4 linked regions of the Caenorhabditis elegans genome follow. The protein of the gene in region 1 purifies or fractionates together with the protein of each later gene. This does not show direct contact. Each region holds a gene or a part of one and is shown in the gene's direction. Other genes may lie near its edges.

What was found.
Region 2: the proteins of C34C12.8 (region 1) and ppat-1 fractionate together in Caenorhabditis elegans (co-fractionation; one large-scale study listed by BioGRID). This does not show direct contact.
Region 3: the proteins of C34C12.8 (region 1) and semo-1 fractionate together in Caenorhabditis elegans (co-fractionation; one large-scale study listed by BioGRID). This does not show direct contact.
Region 4: the proteins of C34C12.8 (region 1) and Y54E5A.5 fractionate together in Caenorhabditis elegans (co-fractionation; one large-scale study listed by BioGRID). This does not show direct contact.

The regions. Positions count from the first base shown.
Region 1 is NC_003281.10:3,458,150-3,462,285, forward strand, and holds C34C12.8 (GrpE protein homolog, mitochondrial), read left to right. Parts: upstream 1-2,256; 5' UTR 2,257-2,261; coding exon 2,262-2,311; intron 2,312-2,363; coding exon 2,364-2,467; intron 2,468-2,535; coding exon 2,536-2,777; intron 2,778-2,836; coding exon 2,837-3,052; intron 3,053-3,173; coding exon 3,174-3,275; 3' UTR 3,276-3,441; downstream 3,442-4,136. Other genes in the region: C34C12.2 (Fibronectin type-III domain-containing protein), read left to right, coding at 1-860, 1,323-1,604, 1,672-1,896; pph-6 (Serine/threonine-protein phosphatase 6 catalytic subunit), read left to right, coding at 3,555-3,631. UniProt on the Caenorhabditis elegans protein: Essential component of the PAM complex, a complex required for the translocation of transit peptide-containing proteins from the inner membrane into the mitochondrial matrix in an ATP-dependent manner.
Region 2 is NC_003281.10:4,687,463-4,693,311, forward strand, and holds ppat-1 (Amidophosphoribosyltransferase), read left to right. Parts: upstream 1-1,817; 5' UTR 1,818-1,882; coding exon 1,883-1,971; intron 1,972-2,171; exon of another isoform or gene 2,172-2,309; intron 2,310-2,595; coding exon 2,596-3,001; intron 3,002-3,047; coding exon 3,048-3,308; intron 3,309-3,543; coding exon 3,544-3,853; intron 3,854-3,901; coding exon 3,902-4,017; intron 4,018-4,312; coding exon 4,313-4,477; intron 4,478-4,521; coding exon 4,522-4,617; 3' UTR 4,618-4,709; downstream 4,710-5,849. Other genes in the region: tag-243 (Costars domain-containing protein), read right to left, coding at 719-748; nifk-1 (RRM domain-containing protein), read right to left, coding at 4,767-4,856, 4,901-5,416, 5,465-5,578, 5,624-5,827.
Region 3 is NC_003282.8:14,048,903-14,057,481, forward strand, and holds semo-1 (Methanethiol oxidase), read left to right. Parts: upstream 1-2,297; 5' UTR 2,298-2,319; coding exon 2,320-2,493; intron 2,494-2,592; exon of another isoform or gene 2,593-2,613; intron 2,614-2,891; exon of another isoform or gene 2,892-2,912; intron 2,913-2,933; coding exon 2,934-3,031; intron 3,032-3,046; exon of another isoform or gene 3,047-3,067; intron 3,068-3,093; exon of another isoform or gene 3,094-3,115; intron 3,116-3,372; exon of another isoform or gene 3,373-3,393; intron 3,394-3,465; exon of another isoform or gene 3,466-3,490; intron 3,491-3,558; coding exon 3,559-3,929; intron 3,930-4,006; exon of another isoform or gene 4,007-4,027; intron 4,028-4,081; coding exon 4,082-4,284; exon of another isoform or gene 4,285-4,749; intron 4,750-4,834; exon of another isoform or gene 4,835-4,859; intron 4,860-4,922; exon of another isoform or gene 4,923-4,943; intron 4,944-5,069; exon of another isoform or gene 5,070-5,090; intron 5,091-5,266; exon of another isoform or gene 5,267-5,288; intron 5,289-5,406; exon of another isoform or gene 5,407-5,427; intron 5,428-5,592; exon of another isoform or gene 5,593-5,613; intron 5,614-5,630; exon of another isoform or gene 5,631-5,651; intron 5,652-5,893; exon of another isoform or gene 5,894-5,914; and 20 more.
Region 4 is NC_003279.8:14,706,469-14,710,314, reverse strand, and holds Y54E5A.5 (Polysaccharide biosynthesis domain-containing protein), read left to right. Parts: upstream 1-2,439; 5' UTR 2,440-2,447; coding exon 2,448-2,807; intron 2,808-3,047; coding exon 3,048-3,149; 3' UTR 3,150-3,256; downstream 3,257-3,846. Other genes in the region: dus-2 (DRBM domain-containing protein), read left to right, coding at 1-118, 884-1,205, 1,622-1,713, 1,756-2,026; npp-4 (Nucleoporin p58/p45), read left to right, coding at 3,795-3,846.

The DNA.
Region 1 (4,136 bases):
TTAAAGTGTTTTCAGTGGAATTTGTGAATATTCAAAAAGAAAATGTTAAACTAATGAAGGAGAACAAAGCTAAAGAATCACAAATTTCAAACCAATCGATTCAAGTTCGAAATTCGTGGAAATTCGCAGATTTATTCAAGAAAGAGCTGCAGAAAAGTCGGAAAGACGTGTCGGAAGTGAAATGGAAAATTGATAAAATCGAAAAAAAAGTCGGCATCAAAAAGCCTACACCAAGGAAGAAGCCTGATGTAAAGCTGATAAATCCAGAGGATATTTCATTGATGTCTGACAGAACCCAGGATGGGGAAGATTCAAGTGACTTCGGAAGTCCTCTAGCGAAATATCTGAAGCCTGATCAGCCCAGCACAAGTTCTGCGTGCTATGGGAAGCCGTTCTATTTTGAAAGCACCAGCAGCAGCTCCAGAAAGCCCATCACAGCATCTCCAGGCCCTCCAGGCCGAACACAAATTTCGGATCAGCTGAACACTGGAGAAGTTAGATATGTGGTGAATTCAGGAAAACCATTCAATTTTAGCTCGGAAAGTAACTCCAGGAACTTGAAGCTTATTCCAGGATATATTAAGAGACCAGAATTTCGCTATATCAAGCCAGAAGGCTTCACCTCAGCCTCTTACAAAGCTCAGTCAGAAGGAATGAGCTCGTTTTTGAAGACTGGAAGCTCTGCAACTCCTGAAAATTCGAAGAAATCAGCCCATTTTGACATGCCGGATATTTCCTCAACGCCTTACAAATCTCACGTGGTGGTGGAATCGGACGAAATGAATAGTTCTTCGAGTACAATTGGAGGATTTGAGTCAGAAAAGAAAGATAATGGAGCTCTCGGAAGCCAGAAATCTCCTGTTAGTTATAACGAAAAAAATTGCTAAAAAATTTACTTAAAATTCCGCGAAATTTTGCCAATCTGTCAGTATCGATTTTTTCAATTTTTCAGGAAAAAAAAGTCAAATTTTAAGGTTTTTTCAATAAAAAACTTTTGAAAATGAAAAAATCCGCCAAGACGATTTGTTCGATGGGGCGCGCTTGCATTATTTTTTGTTTTTGTTTTTTTGTCCTAATTATTTCACTGAATTCCTTCATGTTTTGTGTATTTTTACTGAAAATTTGAAAAGCTAATGAACAATTTGCATTTATCTTGACTTTTCATTCAAATTTTCAGTGAAAATTCACAAAAAATGAAGAAGTTCAGAGAATTGATGAGAAAAAAAAAACAAAAATTAAAATAATGCAAGCGCGCTCTATTGAACAAAGTCTCTTGGCGGTAATTTGAATATGAAACTGGCAAAAATGGAAAATTATTGCAGATGCCCGACATTGCCACAGCACTTCACAATATATTTGATTCAAAAGAAGTTCAAAGTAGTTCTTCAACCACCGGAAGCTCTGCACCGCCCGAAAATTCGAAGAAATCAGATCATTTTGACATGCCGGATATCTCCTCAACTCTTTACAGATCTCGTGTTGAGCCAATCAGCAGCTCTTCCAGTGGATCTACCAGCACAAGTGCTCCGAGATATGTGCCAAAACCAATAGCCCAGCCAGCTCGATATGCAATTCCAAGTCCGGGTGCTTTGAATGCCTTAAGAGTGAGTGACAGCCGGAATCGCTCAGTTTACTGGAGCGCACTTGCAATAATACATACTTTTTTTTCAGCGTCCCCCAGAATGGAAAGGTCAGCGCCGACATGCGCCGAGTTACGTGAAATCCAGAGAAAGCGTCACGTTCAGAGGATGCTCCAGATTTCCAGTCACATCACCGCATTTCGCGAAAGCTCACCTGGAACCTGTGACTGATGGAAAAGATGATTCGAAAATTGTCAAATATCGATTTGTACCGAAGCGACCAGATTTTGATGGAGAACGCGAACATAAGAAGTGACAAATCTTGGTTTTTTTGTGTTTAAGGCTTTTAGAGCATTGATAATAAATTTTTTGTTGGATTTGCTGTGTTTTTTTGCGGAAATACACAGATTTTTGCAGAAAAAGTTAAGAAAAAACTGCTACAGTTTGCCCTTTTCCACTTTAAATTGCCGCTTAAAAACTCCTCGAAAAGAGTGTGCAAAGCATGGAGACGCAGACACGCACGAAAATCACGCCAGCACGTTACTGGCGCACTTGAGTCATGTGCTGGCGCATTTCTTGTCATGATGAAATTTATTAATTTTTTCTTCGTTTTTTACCAATTTCCGCCGATTTTTCGTTTTTTATTCCTAATTTCTTCAAATTTTGGCAATTTCAGACAATATGCTGCGCAAAGGAGTGTCTTTCGTCGGCCAGGCTGTTCAACAAACGCTGTAAGTTCCTTGAATTTTGAATAACGGTGAAAATCAAATTTTTTCATTGCAGGAAAACTCAGAAAAACTTGCGCATTCAAAGATTCAGCGCCACGGCATCACAATCATCGGAAGAAGTCAATTATGAGATTAGAAAAGACGGAAAGAGACTCAGAGGTAGCGATTTTTACTCTAAAACAAATTCTAAATTCTAAAAACTGATATAATATTTAAAAAAAAACCAGGAGCCGACTATGAAGAAATTGTTCTTACTTCGATTGCCGGCGAGGACAAGACACAGATTCCAAAGGGTGCTTTTGATGTTCTTCTCAAGGAATACGACGATTTGCAGGCCGAAAGCTTGGATTTTAAGGATAAATATCAAAGATCGCTTGCTGAAACTGAAAATGTTCGTCGGCGAGGTATCAAGCAAACCGACGATGCTAAGGTTTTTGCAATCCAATCATTCTGCAAAGATTTACTTGAGGTTCGATTTTTAAAATCAAAATCAACCGAAAAACAATTAAAATAATTCCAAATTTGCAGGTCTCCGATATTCTCGACATTGCCGTCAAGTCTGTGAAGCCAGAAGATCTGGAATCGGGAGGAAAAGCTCTGAAAGATCTTTTCGAAGGAGTTTCAATGACCCGTACTGTCATGGCAAAGACATTCGCAAAGCATGGCCTTGTGACCGTGGATCCAACCAATGAAAAGTTCGACCCCAATCTCCACGAAGCCGTTTTCCAGATTCCATCTGCTAATGTTAGTGCTAACCGCCCGAATTTTCCGAAATAAAAGAGCCAAATCTTGTATTTTTTGAACAATTTGGGCTTATTTAATCCTTTTTAAATGCCACAAAATGCTTAATTTCCTCCATTTTCAGGCCAAACAACCTGTCGGACATATCGAAGTGTGTACAAAGATCGGCTACAGCCTGAAAGAACGTCCAATTCGGCCTGCTCAAGTTGGAGTCGTCTCTAAATAATTTTCTTTTAATTTTCCTCTGGTTTTTTAATGTTTTTCCGGTTTTTTGTAGTTTTTTTTTGAATAGCTAGTAATTTTTATTGTTTTTCTGTTTTTTCCGTTATTTCATCACACTCCAATCACTTTTTCCCGCCGTTTTATAGGATTCGAATGAACAATTTTTGAGTTTCAATTCCCTTTTTTCCACTTTTTCGATAGGTTTTCAGCCATTTTTCATATATTTTTTAATTTTAAACAGGAAAAAAGCTTCTTTTTCATTTAAAACCGTAAAATTTTCAGAATGATCGACACAAACCTTCTTCGGGTGACAGTGTGCGATGAAGGAGAGCTCGAAAAGAGCACAACGCATTTTATTGGGTACCAAATTTTGGATATTTCAAGCGAAAAATGCGATTTTCCAAGCACAAATCGCTTTGTGTCGATTTACGCAGCTCGTGTACTCCTCGAGGAGAAGATTTTTATAGTTTTTGGAGAAAATGCTCAATTTTTGACCAATTTAACATTAAAATTGTCATTTTAATTATTTTAAATGAAAATCGACTACAAATCATCGTTTCCAGCAGTTTTCCATATTAAAAATGCTGAATTTCAGCATAAAAATTACCAAAAAAGCGAAAAATCGGCGATTTGAACGTTAAACTTTTAAAAAACAGCGAAAATGTAAAATCTAGCATTTTAGTCGAAAACTAGTATTTTTCTCCTCGGGGAGTACACGAGCTGCGTAAATCTACATTAGGCGATTTGAGCTTGGAAATTGATTTTTTTTACTCAAAATTGAAAAATTCTGCGAAAAATTTCGAATTTTTTTGCAAATTTCTAAAAAAAAACTTAAATTTCAGCTCCAAAATTATACAAAACTTAA
Region 2 (5,849 bases), 1.2 Mb from region 1:
TTTTTGGTTATTTGTTAATTTAAAATGAGCTTATATAATCACATAAATATTTTTAAAAATTAATTTGGCAAATGGAAATTTTCTAAAAAAAAATGAATGAATTTTATACGACCTATGAGTTTTTATGAGTTTTGGAACGACTCCCAGACTTTGTTAGGCACGTTTGTATTTCAATGAACTTGTTCTTAAAAAATTTATTACGCGCATCTAGTCTGAAACTATGTGCACACCAGTAGGCCAGTAGGCAGATATCGGGTTGAAAACAGCGAGGAAGGCTGTCGGGTGAACTTGTCCGCCTGATTTGGACTACTTTTTTTTTAAAGCAGAGCTAGAGAAATTATAATAAAATTCAAGAAAAATGTATAGACCTAACAAATGGGAAATCAAGCGTCGGAAAAATTTAAGAAACCACTATTGATGAAACCCATAGCAAAGATTTTTGCGGCAAGGAAGCATAGAATTTAAAAAAAAATTTAAAAACTACTTCTAAACTAGAATACTTTTCCCATTAATATGAGTGGTTGAATCTTGATTAAATATGTGACATATAAGTCACCACAAAATTGAGCAAATACTCAAAACTACTTAATAGTTTTGTGAGTCACTTTTATAAACGTTCAAAACTTTCTTCAAAAATAATTTTCAAGTTCACCTATGTACCTTTAATATTTTCTAATTTACAAAAATCTAAACGAATATAAAAATGGATTAAACTTACATTTTGTTCTTCCACTGATTGACTTGGCATTTTCTTGAGCAACTTCTTTTTTCAGTAAAACAAATTTCAGATATGTGTGCTTAACTTTCAAAAGATATATCCTTGACTGTCTCCTTATTTTTTGAGCAATTTTGATAAGTTTAGCCAAAAAGTAAGTGGGCGCTCATTTTCGCGACAATCTTTGCTGTCTGCGTCTCTTCGTCTCACGTGCAATTTCGCTGTTCAAATATAAAACAATGCACACACATACAGAAAGGCTATTTTTGACAGGGAGCTCAAGTAAAATGGAGAAAAGCGAAGTTGTTCGGAAATTTTTTGAAATTCAAAAACCTAATGTCAACTTGTAAATACAACTGGGTGGTCAATGTTCAATAACAAACAGAGGGATATTTTGATTTTTGAATTGTGTTGGAATTTCAAAGAACGAAAACCATTTTACCAATTCAGATATTAACAGGAAAGTATGTAAAGAATATTTTCGAAGTCCATATTGACAGTTGATAACTGTTGACGTGGGTGAACCTGACCAAGCACATACATCCGCAAAGTTGGGACGGACGGGCTCTACGGAGTCCAAGTGACAACAATATCTACTTTCTAGACACAACATGACACTCTAAAAAAATCTGCTCAAATAAATTGAAGTTGGCAGAAAAAAAAAAATTTTACAGAAAAATGTTGTCAGAAAGTTGCAAAAGTTTGATAACATACTCACAAACCTTTTTCAAACAGGAATTTCATTAGATTCAGTATTACATTTTAAAATTAAACTCTCCAGATTTCCATGCATCTGCTGCGAAAGTAAATTACAGATTCTGAAAGCCGAAGATTTTAGCTCTCGCGCCAGGTTAAGTTTTATTTCATTCACATCTTATAGTTATCGTATTCCCGAGCAACGTGTTTATTTTCAATTAAACCTAAAAACTCCTTTTAAAATCAAACTTCAATTAGACATTCACTTGTTCTTATCAGCGGAAAAAGTTCAAAAACCTGGCTCTATCGACAGAAGTGAACTTTTCCATGAAAAATAGGCAATAACTTTAAAAACATAGCAGGTGGAGGGTGTAAAGGTTTTATGATTGGCGTATCAAACATTCAGAGCATCGAAAAAGATAATAACATGCACATTAGGCAATTGATTTCTGACGACGATCACACCGAACAATGTGTGGTATATTTGGGATTGTTGCCGCTGGAAATTATGAGCATTTGAATGTTCTTGCTGCAAATGGATTGGCTGCTCTTCAACACAGGTGGGGTTTTAAGTTTAAATTTTTAATAAGCTCTGTCTCAAAAAGTTTGATTTCATACATCTCCTACATTGGTTTCAGTTTGAATTTTTAACTGTTCAGCTCCTCATTCCTAAATATCTAATTTTTCAAAAAGCTCTCGTTTTCTCTTCCCGTTCATTCCGCTTCTGCTTAACTTAAGCCATCGTTCCACAAGAAGGCAAAAGTGTAAACTCCCTAATTGTATCCGAGCCAGTTTAGTCTGACTAGACGTCAATGGAGAAGTTATCAATTTTGCGTCAGAAATACGCTGAATCGCCAACATTAGAATCACGTTGCCAATTGGATGAAAATGACGCGTATGTAGAGATTGAACTGGCGTCTCGTGGGTCACAGCAAACAGCGCTAACCACTCGGACACACGACCAATAAAGTGCTTGTAGCGTTGCAGTGGTTGACATTGTTGCAAACAAGTAGATTGTGCAGTGATTTTGAGTTTGCAAAAAATCGAAATAGCTAAATGAATAAGTCTAGCATTTCTTGCAAATATTGTCTAGTTTCTAAATTGTTTTCCGTGCGTGATAGAAAAATAAAATACTAAAACAAATTAGTTGCAAATTTGCAATTCTTATCATGTATATTTTGCAGAGGAACTGAATCAACAGGACTCGTTGGTTCAGATGGAATCACTCGAGACCACGTGGAAATTATCAAAGGTCATGGACTTGTCCGAGATGTGATTACTGAAGATAATATCTCAAGAATGAATGGGCAATCGATAATAATTGGTCATAATAGGTATTCAACTGCAGGAAAGAAGAAGTCTGGAATCAATTGTGTACAACCATTTGTGGTATATACTGCAATGGGTACTGTAGCAATTGCTCATAATGGAGAATTGGTTGATGCGAAACAAAAAAGAAAGGAAGTACTTCATGAAGGTGTTGGTTTATCAACTGACACTGACTCAGAGCTTATTGCTCAAATGATTGCAAAAGCGATTGCTCTGAATGTAAAATGCAAGTATGGACAAGAGATGGGTGATATTACAAGAGTGAGTTTTTGAAAAACATGAAAATTCTTAAACCAAAAAACTTCAGGAGCTCGCAGTAACAATGTCTGCACTAAACATGTCATATTCTCTACTAGTAATGACATTTGATAGACTATACGCAATTCGTGATCCATTTGGAAATCGTCCACTTTGTGTTGGTACTGTATATTCTAAAAATGGAAATCCAGAAGCATTCATTGCATCTTCTGAATCTTGTGCATTTCCTGCAAATGCTAAATTAGATTTCGAAGTGAGACCAGGAGAAATTGTGGAATTATCGACAGGAGGAATCAAGTCGGTGTGGCAGGTAAACTTACATATATCTTGGCCTGCCTACGCGCCTACCTACCGCCTTCTCTGACCTCATTTTCTCATGTATGTATTTTGTTAGACATTAAAATTTAAAAAAGTGTTTTTAAAGTTTTGCAAATACATGTAGTTTTTAGACTTTCTGGTTATTTTTGGTATTTTCCAAAATTACAATCGAGACAGATGGGCTATGCTGAAAAATCAGAAACCTGGAATTATATGAGTCATTTCAGATGAAACCGAATACTCCTCTGGCTATGTGCATATTCGAATATGTCTATTTTGCACGAAATGATTCAGAAATTGAAGGACAACAAGTACAAACTGTTCGTGAAGAATGTGGAAAAACGATGGCTCTTGAAGATGATCTAGAAGCAGATATTGTTGGAAATGTTCCAGATTCTTCGCTGAGTGCAGCAATTGGATACGCTTCTCAGTCTGGAATCACATATGAACCTGTTTTACACAGAAATTCATATGTTGGAAGATCATTTATAGAACCAAATGATGAGATGAGACAAAATGCGATTAAAATGAAATTTGGTAAAATAAAGAAAACTATTTAGAAAGACTTCATGAATTCTATTTCAGGAGTATTGAAGAAAAAGATTCATGGACAAAGGATTGTGTTAGTAGATGATTCAATTGTACGTGGAAATACGATGAGAACTTTGGTAAAAATGTTAAGAGATGCTGGAGCAAAAGAGGTATTACCCTTGTTGTTAAAAATAATGATTTTTCACCTTATAAACCGTGAAAAAGGTCTTGACACGAGCAAAAATTTTCAGCTACCGTATAACGCGAGTAATTCTCCGTTTTTGCAGATTTTTCCAATACATATATTTGTTGTAAAACTGTGCATCTAGATGTTCAGCAAATATTAAGAAAACAATAGCGGAATACATAAAAACGAGAAACTGGAGTATACGGTAGAGTACGGTATCTTAGAAATTTCGATCGTGTCAAGACCGCATTATTCAAATAATACCTCTAAATTTAAAGGTTCATCTACGAATTGCTTCCCCGCCTGTAAAATTCCCATGTTTTATGGGAATCAACATTCCAACCACAAAGGAATTGATTGCTGCCGAAAAAACAATTCCAGAAATCTGCCAATTTGTTGGAGCCGATTCAGTACGGTATCTTTCGGTTGACGGTTTAGTTTCGGTGAGTTTGAACCTCACTTTCTCCTCAATTTAATTTTTTTTCAGTCTGTTCAAAAAGGAATCGAACGAGCTGCCAACTTCTCTCCAGGACATTGCACCGCATGTCTCACTGGAAAATATCCAGTTGCTATCGATTTATAATTAGTGTTTGAAAAGTTTGAATAGATTATTTGTATTCATGAAAAACAAAATCAATTCAATTAAAAATCAACAATGAATGTGTATAAAAATAAGAACAACAACAGTTTGCGGAAAAAAAATAAAATGATTAACAACAGAAATCAGGACGCTTACAAGCTCTTCTTCTTTCCACGAGATCTCAATGTTTTCTTTTCGACAGCAGCTGGACGGGCACTTGCAGCGACGGATTTGAGGATTGTCTGGAAAATTAATATAACCAAATTTTATTTAAAGTTTTTCGTACGTTGGATAGCGTAGATTTAGCCTGTGGAGTAGCAGCAGCAGCTGCCTTCTTTCCTGCGCGAGTTTTTGGAGTGAACTGTTTGGGTTCCGGCTTTTCAGTTTTAGGAGTCTTGATGACAACCTTTTTGGTGACTGGAGTGGAAACTTTCGGAGTTGCTTGTTTTGGAGTCACGGCCTTTGGAGTAGCTGCTTTTGGAGTTGCAGCTTTCACAATTTTCGGAGTCGTGCTTTTCGGGGTGACATCACTGATAAATTGAACCTCATTGTCAATGACCTTCTTAAGTGGCGTTCTTGGTGTTCCAGACACAGAGAAATCATAGTTGATCCCCATATTCTGCAGCTTCTTCAAAGTTTTGTTGAGATTTTGCACGCGTTTCTTGGCATTGATGACGTCATTTTTTCCGGTGGTATTGTTTCTGGCAATTGTATCTTTTTTAGCGATGCCCAAGTAAGATGGACGCATCACAAGCAGTGGGCCATGGCGCATTGCCTTCGGGATAAGTTCTGGTTTCATCACCTAAATTTAATAAGTTTTTCAAGGATATAATGGTAGAAGTTGACCTACCGTGCACCCGAGACGTTGCTCGAACATCAAGTAACCGTTCATTGATTCGGCAGCGATTTCAGCAACAGCCTTGTTGTCGAATCCAACGTACGCCCATCCCTTATGATTACCAGTCTAAAATAATGATTTAATACTATATTAACAGGTTGCTGAACCTACGCGTCTGTTTCTGGCCACACGAATTCTCAACACATTTCCGAACTGACGGAAATACCCGAGCAACTCCTTCTCGAAGAATCCAAACGGAATACGCTTAATCTTGACAACATAAATTTTCTTCAGCTGCTTTTTTTGGACTTTGTCTTGCTTCTGAGGTTGCTTGCGTCCTCCAGAACTGATCGAAGTTGGATTCTGGGCAACCATTGTGTCTGAGATCTGAAAAATG
Region 3 (8,579 bases), on another chromosome or scaffold:
CAAATTTCCTACGGTTTACAAAAAAATTAGTGTTAAAGAAAACCAGTAAAAATTGACTATTTTAACGATAATTGTCAAAAATTCGAGGGGGTGCTATAGAAGTTGGACGGCCGTTTTTTCAACTTTTTGACCTAATTTCCGTAGTTTTTAAGATATTCTCACAAAAACCGAGGTGTGGCGGTTTTTTAACATTTGTAATCGAACTACATTCACACTTTTTCAAAATAATTTCCAGAAAGCCTCAAACACTCAAAATAGAGGGGGGTGCTATAGAAGTTGGACGCACTGTATGTTGCAGTGTTTCAATACATTTTTATTAGGCGGTTTACAAATTTCCCACCGTTGCGCTTCAGTTTTATGTATTTTTAAATTTTCATTTCTGTCTAATTCACAGACTTTTGCTTGCTTCACTGTTTTGTATACTTTTTTTTGAAACACCGTACTTCACCGTGCCAAAATTTTTGCAAAAAATGTTTTAAAAAATTGTAACCAAATTTGTCTTGATTAGAAATTTTGACTTAGAAATTTTGAAAATTGATTGTTTTTAAAAAATCGGAAAAATTGAAAAAAACCCCAATATTAAATTTTATGTGAAAAAAACATATTAAAAGCGCTCAACTTGCATTTCAAATCGAGACTAACTTGAAATGTGAATAAATTTACCGATTGTAGAAAAACTTCAAAACTGCAAATTTAAGCAAAATTGCACCAGTTAACAGTTAAGCTATTAACGGCTTACGTTTGCTTAAAGTTTGCAAAAAAATGTTTAACTATTTCACTAAAACTTCATTAGGCGTTTCAATAAATTTTATATAATACAATGAGAAGCAATGTGAAAATCCAATAAAATTCAAATGAAAGATTGATAACATGCCTCATTTTACTATTGGTATGAGTTTTCTATTAGTATTGTAACAGTATTAACATGTAGCAATATTAACTGTAATTTCCCCATATATTTGTGGAGATTTTTATGCTTAAGGTGGATTTGAATGACTGTTCTCATGAGGAAATATGAACAACTTAATATTCAAATTTGTTTATATTTCCAATAATAAAAAAAAAATAAAAATAAAAAAAATTTCGCATGCTGAAAGACGCCGAAAGTTTTTTTTTCATCGTCGACCAATTTTTTTTAGCGAGTGACATTTGCCGTTTGCCGTTTGCAGCACCTAAAATAAATAAAAAATAAATAAAATTGTTGTTTAAACCTTTTTATTAGTGGAAAACGTAATAAGAAATTTGCAAATTTAATTAACCCAAGCTGAGTTTTTCTAAAAATTTGCTATATTCGCGATACATTTTTTTACTGTTTCAAGGAATCCTCATGGAGATTTTCAATAATTTACAGTTGATCCCATCTTCATCAATAATTTTGTCCTTCAAATTTTGGAATTTGTCGCGCGCACAACCCTGAATAATTGTTTATTATTTTTCTGTTAAGCCTAGTATCAGAAGATAAATTAAAAACGAAAAAACTCACTATTTTCAATTTCAAATAAATTCACGTTTTGTAGTCAGATCGGTTTTCCAAAATTAAAAAAAAATGTTATCAAAATATCTGTGCACTTTGAATCAGTCACACAATGTTCACAAATTCATCTCTAAATTCAAAAATTAATCTCAACCAGAAACGGTACTTGTAGTTTGTATCAGAATAATTTCCTACGTGTTTCTAGTAGATTTCTAGTTGGTTCATTGAACAATCATCTTGATGACTGCTAGAGATAAGACATAGAACAGCTAGTGATACCTTATCAATGTCATCCCCTTCTGTTGTCGATTGTCTTTTTCATTTTTGATTTTTGTGTTCAGTTCGTTATATAAATAGAGAGTAGTGGAAAACTGACAAAGTTCCTGCAAACTAAACCCGTCTGAGCCAAAATTAATTGTTTTCAAAACAGTTTTGTCACCTTTCCAAATAATCCTTTTCAAAAACAAAATTATTTTCAGTTTCACTGTGTGTTTATAAGTTTCACATTTTTCAGTTTTTTTTGGTTTTGCTACATCCGCGTTAGTTTTTTAACTTACAAATTTTCGCTGTATTTTTTTTTTAATTTTTACATTCCCCTTTTTAGAGCTGTGACAAAAAAAGTAATTTTTTCTGAAGCTAAAAATGTTTGCCCAAAAGTTTTCGTGCAACTTGTTTTCAAAGCTACAAAAATAGTGTCAAACTTGAAAAAAATTTAATTTTGCTATAGTTTAATTCAGCAAAAAATTGTATGTATGTAACTTTTTAATCCATACTACTGATTTGATTATATTGTTTGATTTTAAAAAAAAGTCAATATTTGCAGATCAAAAATCCCAAAAACCAAAATGTCCCCAAACTGTGGTTTAAAATGTCATGGTGGTCCAGGATATGCATCTCCAGCTGATGCTATAAAAGGACCACGAGAAGAAGTTTTATTTGTGACTGCTCCAAATGCAGCTGATGGTCCTGATGCCATTTTTACAGTTGATGTGAATCCAGAGAGTGACACTTTTTGTCAGGTAAATTTTATTTGTAAAGTTGATTTTTTTTCTTGTTTGGAGGAAAAAAATACTGTTTCAAAAAGACGTATTGAGTTTTAGGAATAACTAATTTTTTGATTGTCTTTTGTAGATCACGTCCATAAAGCTTGAAATAACTGTTTCTATATCAGAAAAATTGTTCAAATTACCGGAATAAAATTGCAATTTTGCAATTTTCATCTCTGTTGCATCAGCCAAAAATAAATCAGGAAACTTTGATTTGATCTCTCTGATTTCAAGGTTATCTCAAGCTTAAGAGTTTTAAATCGATTTGCACGATATATGATTGTATAGTAAAAATTAAAAATTATTATTTAATTGAAAAAATTATCGGTTTCAAAATATTGATATCCACTCGTAGTTTTAGCATTTAGAGATCGATCAATCATAACATTTTCCAGTAAAATTAATATTTTCAGGTGATCAGCCGAGTTGATGTGCCACATATTGGTGATGAAGTCCATCATACTGGATGGAATGCGTGCTCTTCTTGTCATGACAAACCAACTGAGAAGAGGTTAGTTAAAATATTTATTGTTTTAGGATGATACTATTACTCTATTAGTACAGGTGGCAAAATTAAATCAACTGTTCGAAACATCAAGTTTTGTTTAAAAATTTTTTTAATTAAATTTTCATTTTTGAAGTGTGGTTTTCCGACTTTTTTTTTTTAAAAAGTGGTCACAATAACATGTTTTTTTTTATTCTTCAAACAAAATCATCATATATTTGATAAATCTATAGATTCTCCCTTGTTTGTTTTTCTGATTTTTAGATTTTCTCAAGAAAAAACTGATAAACCTAAATTTTTCCACGACCCTTGATACGGATGCAAAAGCTTTGTAATAAAATCAGATCAGAGCGACATTCACGAGAAGATCATTTTTATAAATTTAGTTAGACTTGAACCAATTTCTTGAAACAGTTTTTTAATTCGAATTTACAAACTTCACATTTCAGTCAACTGAAAGATCAATAAATTTTTAGATCGGAGAACTTTCATTAACAAACCAAAACAGTAGAATAATTTCTAAATAATTTCAGATCCCATTTGATCGTTCCTTGCCTGAACTCTGACCGTATCTACATTATCAACGTAGAAAATGAGCGTAAAATCTATCTTGAACATACAATTGAACCATCAAAACTTCATTCTCTAAACCTTTCATTTCCACATACTTCACATTGTCTTGCCGATGGAAATATTATGATTAGTACTTTGGGAGAAGCTAATGGAACTCCATCTGGTAACTTTTTGTTGTTGGATGGAAAGACATTTGAGCCGAAAGGAACATGGCCAGCTGACGAGAAGACTGTTCCGTTTAACTATGATTTCTGGTACCAGCCAAGGAGAAATGTGATGATTTCTACGGAATGGGGATCACCGAATCATATTAAAAAGGGATTTAATCCAGGTGGGAAAACTGAAAATACTTTTAAAAAATCACTGTTTCAACACCTCTTGTTTCATTTTACCAAAAATTAAAATTATTCCTTGCGGCATGAGCCATCAGCATCACTAAAAACCAAAAAGTTACAAATTTTTTTAAAACATGAAATTTTCCAGCTCACGTCGGAGAGGGTCTCTACGGAAACAGTGTTCATATTTTCGAATGGGACTCTAAGAAATATCTTCAAACAATTGATCTACCACAGCCACTTGGAGCACTTCCACTTGAAGTTCGATTCCTCCATGAGCCAACCAGTGAGCACGCTTTTGTGGGATGTGCTCTTGGATCAGGAATTTTTAGAATTCATCCTGTTGAGGAGGTGAGTAATATTCAATAGAATTTTCAGAAAAATTGAAATGTTTCAATAAGTTATTATTTGTTTAGAAACTGAGATTAATATGTTAAAACCGTAGAATAGAATCAAGATTAAAATTATTGTAAAACTAATTTGCCGAGCTCGGAAAATTTTGAGAACTGCCGCACATCCTTGATTGGGAGGTAGCAAAGTTTCCAAAACTGTTGCTTCTTCCAGAGTACTCAAATTTTATTCCATGAAAACTCTTCAGTAGAGTGTTTGATTTTTCAAAAGTTTCAGTCAATTGAAAATGGTTAAACAGTTTTGGAGATCAATGCCGTGATTTTACGAAAACATTGAAACATTCAAAAAACTTTTCAGTTTCAATTTGTCCTCATAACACACTCTGTTGTTTTTAGTTTAGTTCTGTTGGTATTCCTGTCATCTATTGAAATAGATCCGGTTTTTAGAATTCATCCTGTTGAGGAGGTGAGTAATATTGAAAAGAATTTTTAGAAAACTTTTAGAAAACTGTTTCAATAGGTTATCATATTGTATCTTATTGGAAGTTTATTTCATTTGCTAATCCAAAAAAACGTATGAAATCAAATATAAATGATCTTCGTAGGGGGAGTTGACAATTTATCAATAGTACTGATATTTTCGTTGTCAGTAATTGAATAGCAGTGTTGTAAGCTGATGTGTAACTTTCTGGGATCACCGAAACATTGCATTAGAAACTTTCAAGTTTAAAAATAAATAAATTGTTTCAATACGTTGTTATCAAAACTTCCGTTCTATTCAATTGATTTTTTTTCATTCCCGAAGTTTTCTGAGCAAGTTCTTTGGCAAAATGACTAACTTTCGAGAAAAATGTGGACATTTTGAGAAAATCAGAGCGCTTTCGTACATTTCAAATCCTTTAATGCTTTGGCATACATGATTAGGGCATAATTTGAATTTGAAATTCAGAGAAAGTTGTGTAGACCAAACTGCTATTTTTCTTTTTTTTCATTTGGAAGAACCAATATTAATTCAAAATAGTTTCAGTATTTATAGACTACTTGAAACATATAATAATTTTTAAAAAATATCTTTGAGTGTTTTTAATAATTTATTTTTAAATCAGTTTATAGATTCATTAAACGTTTAACAATGATGCAAATACTAAAAACGTATTTTTCCGAGTTTTTTAAAATTAGGTTAGTGAAACAGTAGATTTTTGATGAACCTTTTTTTAAAAAGCAGCATGCATTTAGTTTTGACAAAAAGTTCAAATCGATTTTTTCTGCGTGACTGTGAATCAAGAAAACTCGGTCAATTAAAGAAAGAAAAAATATTTTTTTTTCGACACTAAAAAATAATTTTAAAGCGCGGACATTATAGTCTCAGTGAAACTTTATTCAAACCAAAACGTTTAATCAGCTAATTGAAACATTAAAAATTTTATGATTTTGTTAGTTTTTCTAGCAATGTCAATGCAATCAAATAATTTTCAAGTAAGATGTTTAATGAGTTATAGACTTTTTTATTAAATTTTTGAAAAAAAAACCGATTTCAGATTTAAGTAAAATTATCTCTGCTTCTGCTGCATTGCTGCGAAACAAAAATTCCTTTCTGTGCAAAGTATAGTCTCACTGGAAATCAAGTTCGAGTGACAATTAGAAATCTCACCGGGTTTTCTAGATCATCTGAAACATATAATTTTAAAAAATTGACACCTTGTTCAACTTGAAACATTTAATCAGCCAATCGAAACATTAAATGTCTCATGATTTTTAAAGCTCTTTTAGAACAGTCGATAAGTCACGCCACAGTTCAATTGAAAACAATTTTCTAGCGAGATGTTAAATGAGTTTGTTGAAACAGTAGATTTTCGTGTAAACTTTTGAAAACAAAAATTACGTTTTAAATAAAATTATATCCACTTCAGCAGTGTGCCCTTGAAACAAAAAAGCTCGATCAAAAAATTTATTTTTTGTGAATGGCCACCAACTTTTCAGGCAAAATTACAAAAAAACATAAAATTTACTGTTTCAAAAAGTTAATATAATTTTGGCAGCGCATATACCTACACTTATTTCGACAGTTCGCGATAACCTCTTTTTGAAAATAAAGTTTTTCAGAAAAGTTGCTTCTTTCCTGTTCTCGAGGTGTTCTTTTAACACACTTTGTATTTTTTTTCTTGTAAAATCTCAAAATTCTGATAGTCAGTATGAAAATAGTTGCCAAATGTTTGTTGAATACTACTGAAAACAAATCTTCAGTGATACGTTGAATGAGAAACATTCAATTTTTCAAATAATTCCAGAACTCAACAACCCATGCAGCTACTCTCGTTGCCTTCATTCCTTCTAAAAAAGTAAGTGGATGGGCTCTTCCAGAAATGCCAGCTCTTATAACTGATATCCTTATCTCAATGGATGATCGTTTCCTGTATGTCTCGTGTTGGCTTCATGGAGATATTCGTCAATATGACATTTCTGATCCATTGAAGGTGAAATTGAATTCTCAAGTTTATATTGGAGGAAGTGTACATACGGAATCAAATGTAAAAGTTCTAGAAGGTGAAAAACCAATTGAAGCACTTTATGTGAAGGGACGGAAAATTGAAGGAGGTCCACAGATGTTACAGTTGTCATTGGATGGAAAGAGACTTTATGTTACAACTTCTTTATACAAGAAATGGGATGATCAATTCTATCCAGAACATGTCAAGTGAGTGCTACTTATGAAAAAATTTAGAATTATTTCTGAGAAAAAAGTTACCGTTTCATAAATGTAGTATATTTTGAGCAAACTATTTCCGCTCACTTGTGGGGCTATTCGCGAAATGTAATTCTTTTTTATTCATTTTATTCATTGAACCTTTGTCCTTACGAAACAAATTATCTCGAATTTTGTAGTTTACACTAAAAATACGCTCATGGTGAAATTATTGTTTAGAAAAAAAATCACCGTTTCAAAAATCTTTCATATTTGCAGCGATTCTCTCTCACTTGCTGAGTTGATTTTATCACGAATTCATGTTTTTCTTTGTTTTTCTAGTCTAAATAATTTTTAAAAAAAAGAACAACTATGAGAAATCGATAAAACAGTTCAATAGCTGCAGCACCGAAAGTTTGAAATTACACTACTCTTTAAAGGCGCACACACGTTTTCCGTTGAAAAAATAGTCACGTCGAGACTTGGTAATGTTTCTTTTCGTCCGCTTAATAATTCATGATAATTTCAAAAAAAAAACACCAAATTCGTCCTACTTTCTCAATGGAGCGCGTTTGCAACCCTGTCATTTTTCAGATCTGGCGCCACAATGGTTCAAGTCAACATTGATCCAGAATCTGGAAAAATGGAAATAAATCGAGACTTTTTGATCGATTTTGGAAAAATTGAAGGAGGTCCCTATTTGGCTCACGAGATGCGTTATCCCGGTGGAGATTGTACATCGGATATTTGGATTTAATTTGGTTTTTTTTAAAATGTTTTGCATAAAAAATTAGCTTGTACATATTCATCACAATTCATTCAGATTTTCAAAAAAAAATTGAAAGGATTTTTCAACTCATGATGCAACTAGAAAAACGGGGGAAACCAGGCGAATAAATATTGAAAAAAGGGGATTTTTGTAATGTGAACGAAGCAATCATCATATATGGTACAAAGAATGTGGCGAGTTGAAATCACGGGAATTTAGTAGAATTGCACAAAAAAATTATGGATTAGAAAGTAGGAAGAAAATATATGAACATCCGGAATTCTCCTCAATAAAAACTGGCTCCTTTTATCGATTGTCTTTTTCATTTTTGATTTTTTGTTCAGTTCATTATATGAATAGACAGTAGTGGAAAACTAACAAAGTTCCTGCAAACTAAACCCGTCTGAGCCAAAATTAATTGTTTTCAAAACAGTTTTGTCACCTTTCCAAATAATCCTTTTCAAAAACAAAATTATTTTCAGTTTCACTGTGTGTTTATAAGTTTTAAAAATGAAAGACATTTGATTCAAATGACCTACAACTTTTCTGAATATCTCAAAAATGAAAACTCAAAAAAGATGATCACTCGAACTAAATGCCCAGAAATTTTATTTTTGTTTTTAAATGAATTTTTAAAATGAAAGACAATAAATTCAAATGACCTACAACTTTTCTGAATATCTCAAAAATGAAAACTCAAAAAAGATGATCACTCGAACTAAATGCCCAGAAATTTTATTTTTGTTTTTAAATGAATTTTTAAAATGAAAGACAATAAATTCAAATGACCTACAACTTTTCTGAATATCTCAAAAATGAAAACTCAAAAAAGATGATCACTCGA
Region 4 (3,846 bases), on another chromosome or scaffold:
GAGTTTCAGCGTTAGGAGTACATGGAAGACGGCGTGATGAACGGCAACCGGATAAATGTAGAATTGATGAGATTCGTGACGTGGCACAGGCGGTTCAAAGTATTCCCGTTATTTCAAAGTAATTATTCGGGGTTTTAACCGGAAAATTCGAAAAAAATCCGGATTTCAGTTTGAAAATTTTTTTTAGAAGATTTTTGATTTTTAATCAAATAAAATCATTAAAAAATATTTAAAAAAAATAGATTTTCCAGTTCTAAAATAGCAGTTTGTCGATTTACGCAGAAATTGTGTACTCCACGAGGAGAAAAGATTTTTTAAAGTTGAAAAAAATTATCCACGCGGAGTACACGAGAGCTTTGTGCATTGCGTATTTTTAAAACTACCGTATCTCTTTAAAATTGAAGAGTTTTATAAATATTATTGGAACACAAAAATGCGTATCAAGCAACATATTTGACGCGCAAAGTATCTCATAGCGAAAACTGCAGTAGTCATCCAAAGGATTACTGTAGAAGATATTTTGCGCGTCAGATATGTTGCGCATTACGCATTCTCAGAGTTTTTGTGCTCCCGTAATTTTTTCAGTGAAAATTGAAAAATCGAAAATCGAAATTTTTTCGATTTTTCGATACTCTGTAAAATCGAAAAATAATTTCAAAAAATTAACCATAAAATATGACTTTTTTATATAATTTTGCTTATATTTGTAAGAAAAAAACATACAAATTTCTTCTAAAAAGAAGAATAATGGCAAAATATTAAGCTAATATTTGAAAAATCTAAATTTTTTGCGAAAAATAGGAAAATCGAAAAACCGACACCCTTGCCCGTAATAGAAAACATCGCAAAAATCAATTAAACAATTAATATATACATTTTTCAGCGGTCTCTCCGACGAAATCGAGCAATATTCAGATTTTGAGAAATATCAGCTGTTAACCGAGACAAGTAGTACAATGATTGCCAGAAAAGCCCTCTCAACTCCGTCAATTTTCCGTCGGGAAGGATGTTTAGATAAATACGAAGATATTCGAAATTTTCTGGAACTCGCGTGCCAATACGACGAGTCTTACACTATGACAAAATACGTTGTTCAACGGATTCTGGGCGCCGATCAGGAATATGATCCACGTGGAAAGGCGACGGTTGCCGCCGGAAGTGTACTGCAGATTTGTAAAGCGTTTGGAATGGAGGATGTATATGATGTACGGGATTATATCTGAAAATCCGGCAATTTTCGCACTGAAAATGTGTGGAAAACACATTGAAAATCACAAAAATTCACTTGAAAATCCAATTTTATTTGAAAAATTTGATGAAAATCACAAAAAGTTAAAAGAAAAACAATATTTTCATGTATTTTCAATGGAAAATCCAAAATCCAATTTTCGTGGCTTAAATTGACTTTTCCAGTCATTTTTTGCCCTAAAATTCAATTTTCACCCAGAAAATATGCCGGAAATCGAACAAAAATTGATTTTCAAAGAATTATTCAGCTTTTCAGTTGAAAAAAAAACGTAAAACAGCAATTTTAGCGTCGAAAATTGGATTTTTCCCACTGTTCTGCAACTTTTTGCTCGAAAATTACACAAAAAATTACGGAAAAATTGGAAATTTTCAGAAATGGCGAGATGAACGAAAGAAGAAACAGAGTAAGAAGCGAGCTCGTGTTGACGATGACGGTGTTTATAATATTGAAGTCTCATTTCCATTGTAAGAATTCCTCCTAAACAAAAAACCATTAATTTTCTGCAGAAAACGCCTGAAAAACTCGGTCGGCTTCTCGCCAACGCCCAAAATGGTGCTTCACGACTATTGTGTGGAGACGAAGATCCCAAAAGCCACGTATGAGGTCGTAAAACGAGATGATAAGCGATTCGTGGCGACGGCGTGTATTGGTGACAAGAAATATCGATCAGGAATTGGACAACCGAATTTAAGAATGGCTGAGCAGGTCGCCGCGCTCGCAGCCTTACATGGAATGAATATTCGGAATCTTTTGGTTGGAAATTGGGAAGAAGAATGATGTTAAATTTGTTTTTTGCTATTTTTTTGTTAAATTATATTGAAAAATTGTTTGTTTTTGCTATAATTTGCATTTAAAATCGGTTTTATTCCATTAATTATCGAATCCCCACTGCGCGCGCGGGGATGGCAAAACGCCGTGCGGCAGTTGCAAATGGGCGGAGTTTGGAGAATTTAAAAAATATTCGAATTTATTTCGCAATTTTTAGAGATTTTCAGGCTTTTTTCAGAGTTTTCATGCGTAATTTTCACTTTAAAATGTTATTTAAGTGTGTAGGATTATAGAAATGTAATTTAATTCCGCAAATTTTGTTGAAAAACTTGGATTTTTGCAATTTTTGCAGATTTTTACATGATTTTCTTCTAATTCTCCTGTTTCAAGTCAATTTTCTCTCTAATTTTCCAAATTTTCAGGTAACAAAATGACTGACTACGGAGATGCTGATAAATACGTCAACGACGAATCGATCGAGATGGCTTGGGCGATCAAAGCCGGCGAACGGTCCGAAGTTCACATGAATCTGATAATGCGGTGTGACACTCGGGTTCTTCGGCTCAACAAGCATCAGGATGCGATTCTCGCCGCATTTCGAAGCTCATTCCCCGATTTGAATGTGGAGGAGGTGACGACGAGTTTGCTGAAAGACGGCGGAGCCAAGGAGACATGGCGCGAGTTTTGTGAGCAATTCAAGGATATCGTCGACGATTATTCAATGGGAACACTGATGAGAATTCATGCTTCGAAGGCTTACAGTCCGGAAAATACTGTGGTTGTTCCAAGAGTTAGTGGGACCCAAATTGGAAATTTTTGTGATTTTCAGCATGATTTGTAGCTAGAAATTGCAGTTTTTGCGTTTTTAGCCCAGTTTTTAGCTAGAAAACTCAGATTTTGTGATTTTCGGCATGATTTGTTGCTGGAAATTGCAGTTTTTAGCTTAAATTTTTGGGAAAACTTCAATTTCCAGCCAAAAACCCCTCATCCCTCATTTTCCCATACAAAATCGATCGATAATTAATTACAGATCATCTACCTGGCAATCGAGATGGCACGCAACGTGGAGGGTGTCAACGAGAAGAATAAGGAGGCATACACGGCTCACCGCAATTCGCTCGCCTCCTTGTAATAATTTCTCTCGTTTTTTTTTTTGAATTTTTGTTGATTTTTCCCCGTTTTCTCGTTTTCCACCCTGTCGTTTGTCTTGTAGTTTGCATATAAACCGATTTCTTCGTTTTTAAAAATGATTTATTTCCAATTTCTCGAGTTTTCCAGCTCTTTTTACTTATATTTTTGTTTATTTTTTTTCCAAAAATTGATTTTCAGATATTTTTCTCTAAGAAATGTCGATTTTGATGAATTTTTCTGTGCTAAAATTGACTTTTCAAAATTTTCTCATAGACACGTGGGATAAATGCCCTAAAACTCAATTTTAGCCTGAATAATTCGTGATTTTTGATAATTTTTCATCGGAAATCGAATGTTGGATGCTAAAAACGTTTCTTTGGCAATTTTCGAATCCCCACCGTTTTTTCTCCATTAAAATCTGGATAAGCATCTCAAAATTCATGAAAAATCACTTTTTCTGTTAAAAAGTGTTTTCTGTGATTTCTGAGCGAAATTGTCAAAAAAAAAAAGTGATTTTCGCTTCGAAAATTCGAATTCCCGAAGGAAAAACCATCAAAAACCTCTGTTTTTGAATAGAAAATGTCTAAAAATCAATAATTTCCCAATTTCTTTTCTTTCTTCTCCATAAAAATTTAATTTTCCAGAAATGTCGCTTTTCGGTACAAGTACCACGGCTCCAGCTGCTTCAACAACACCTC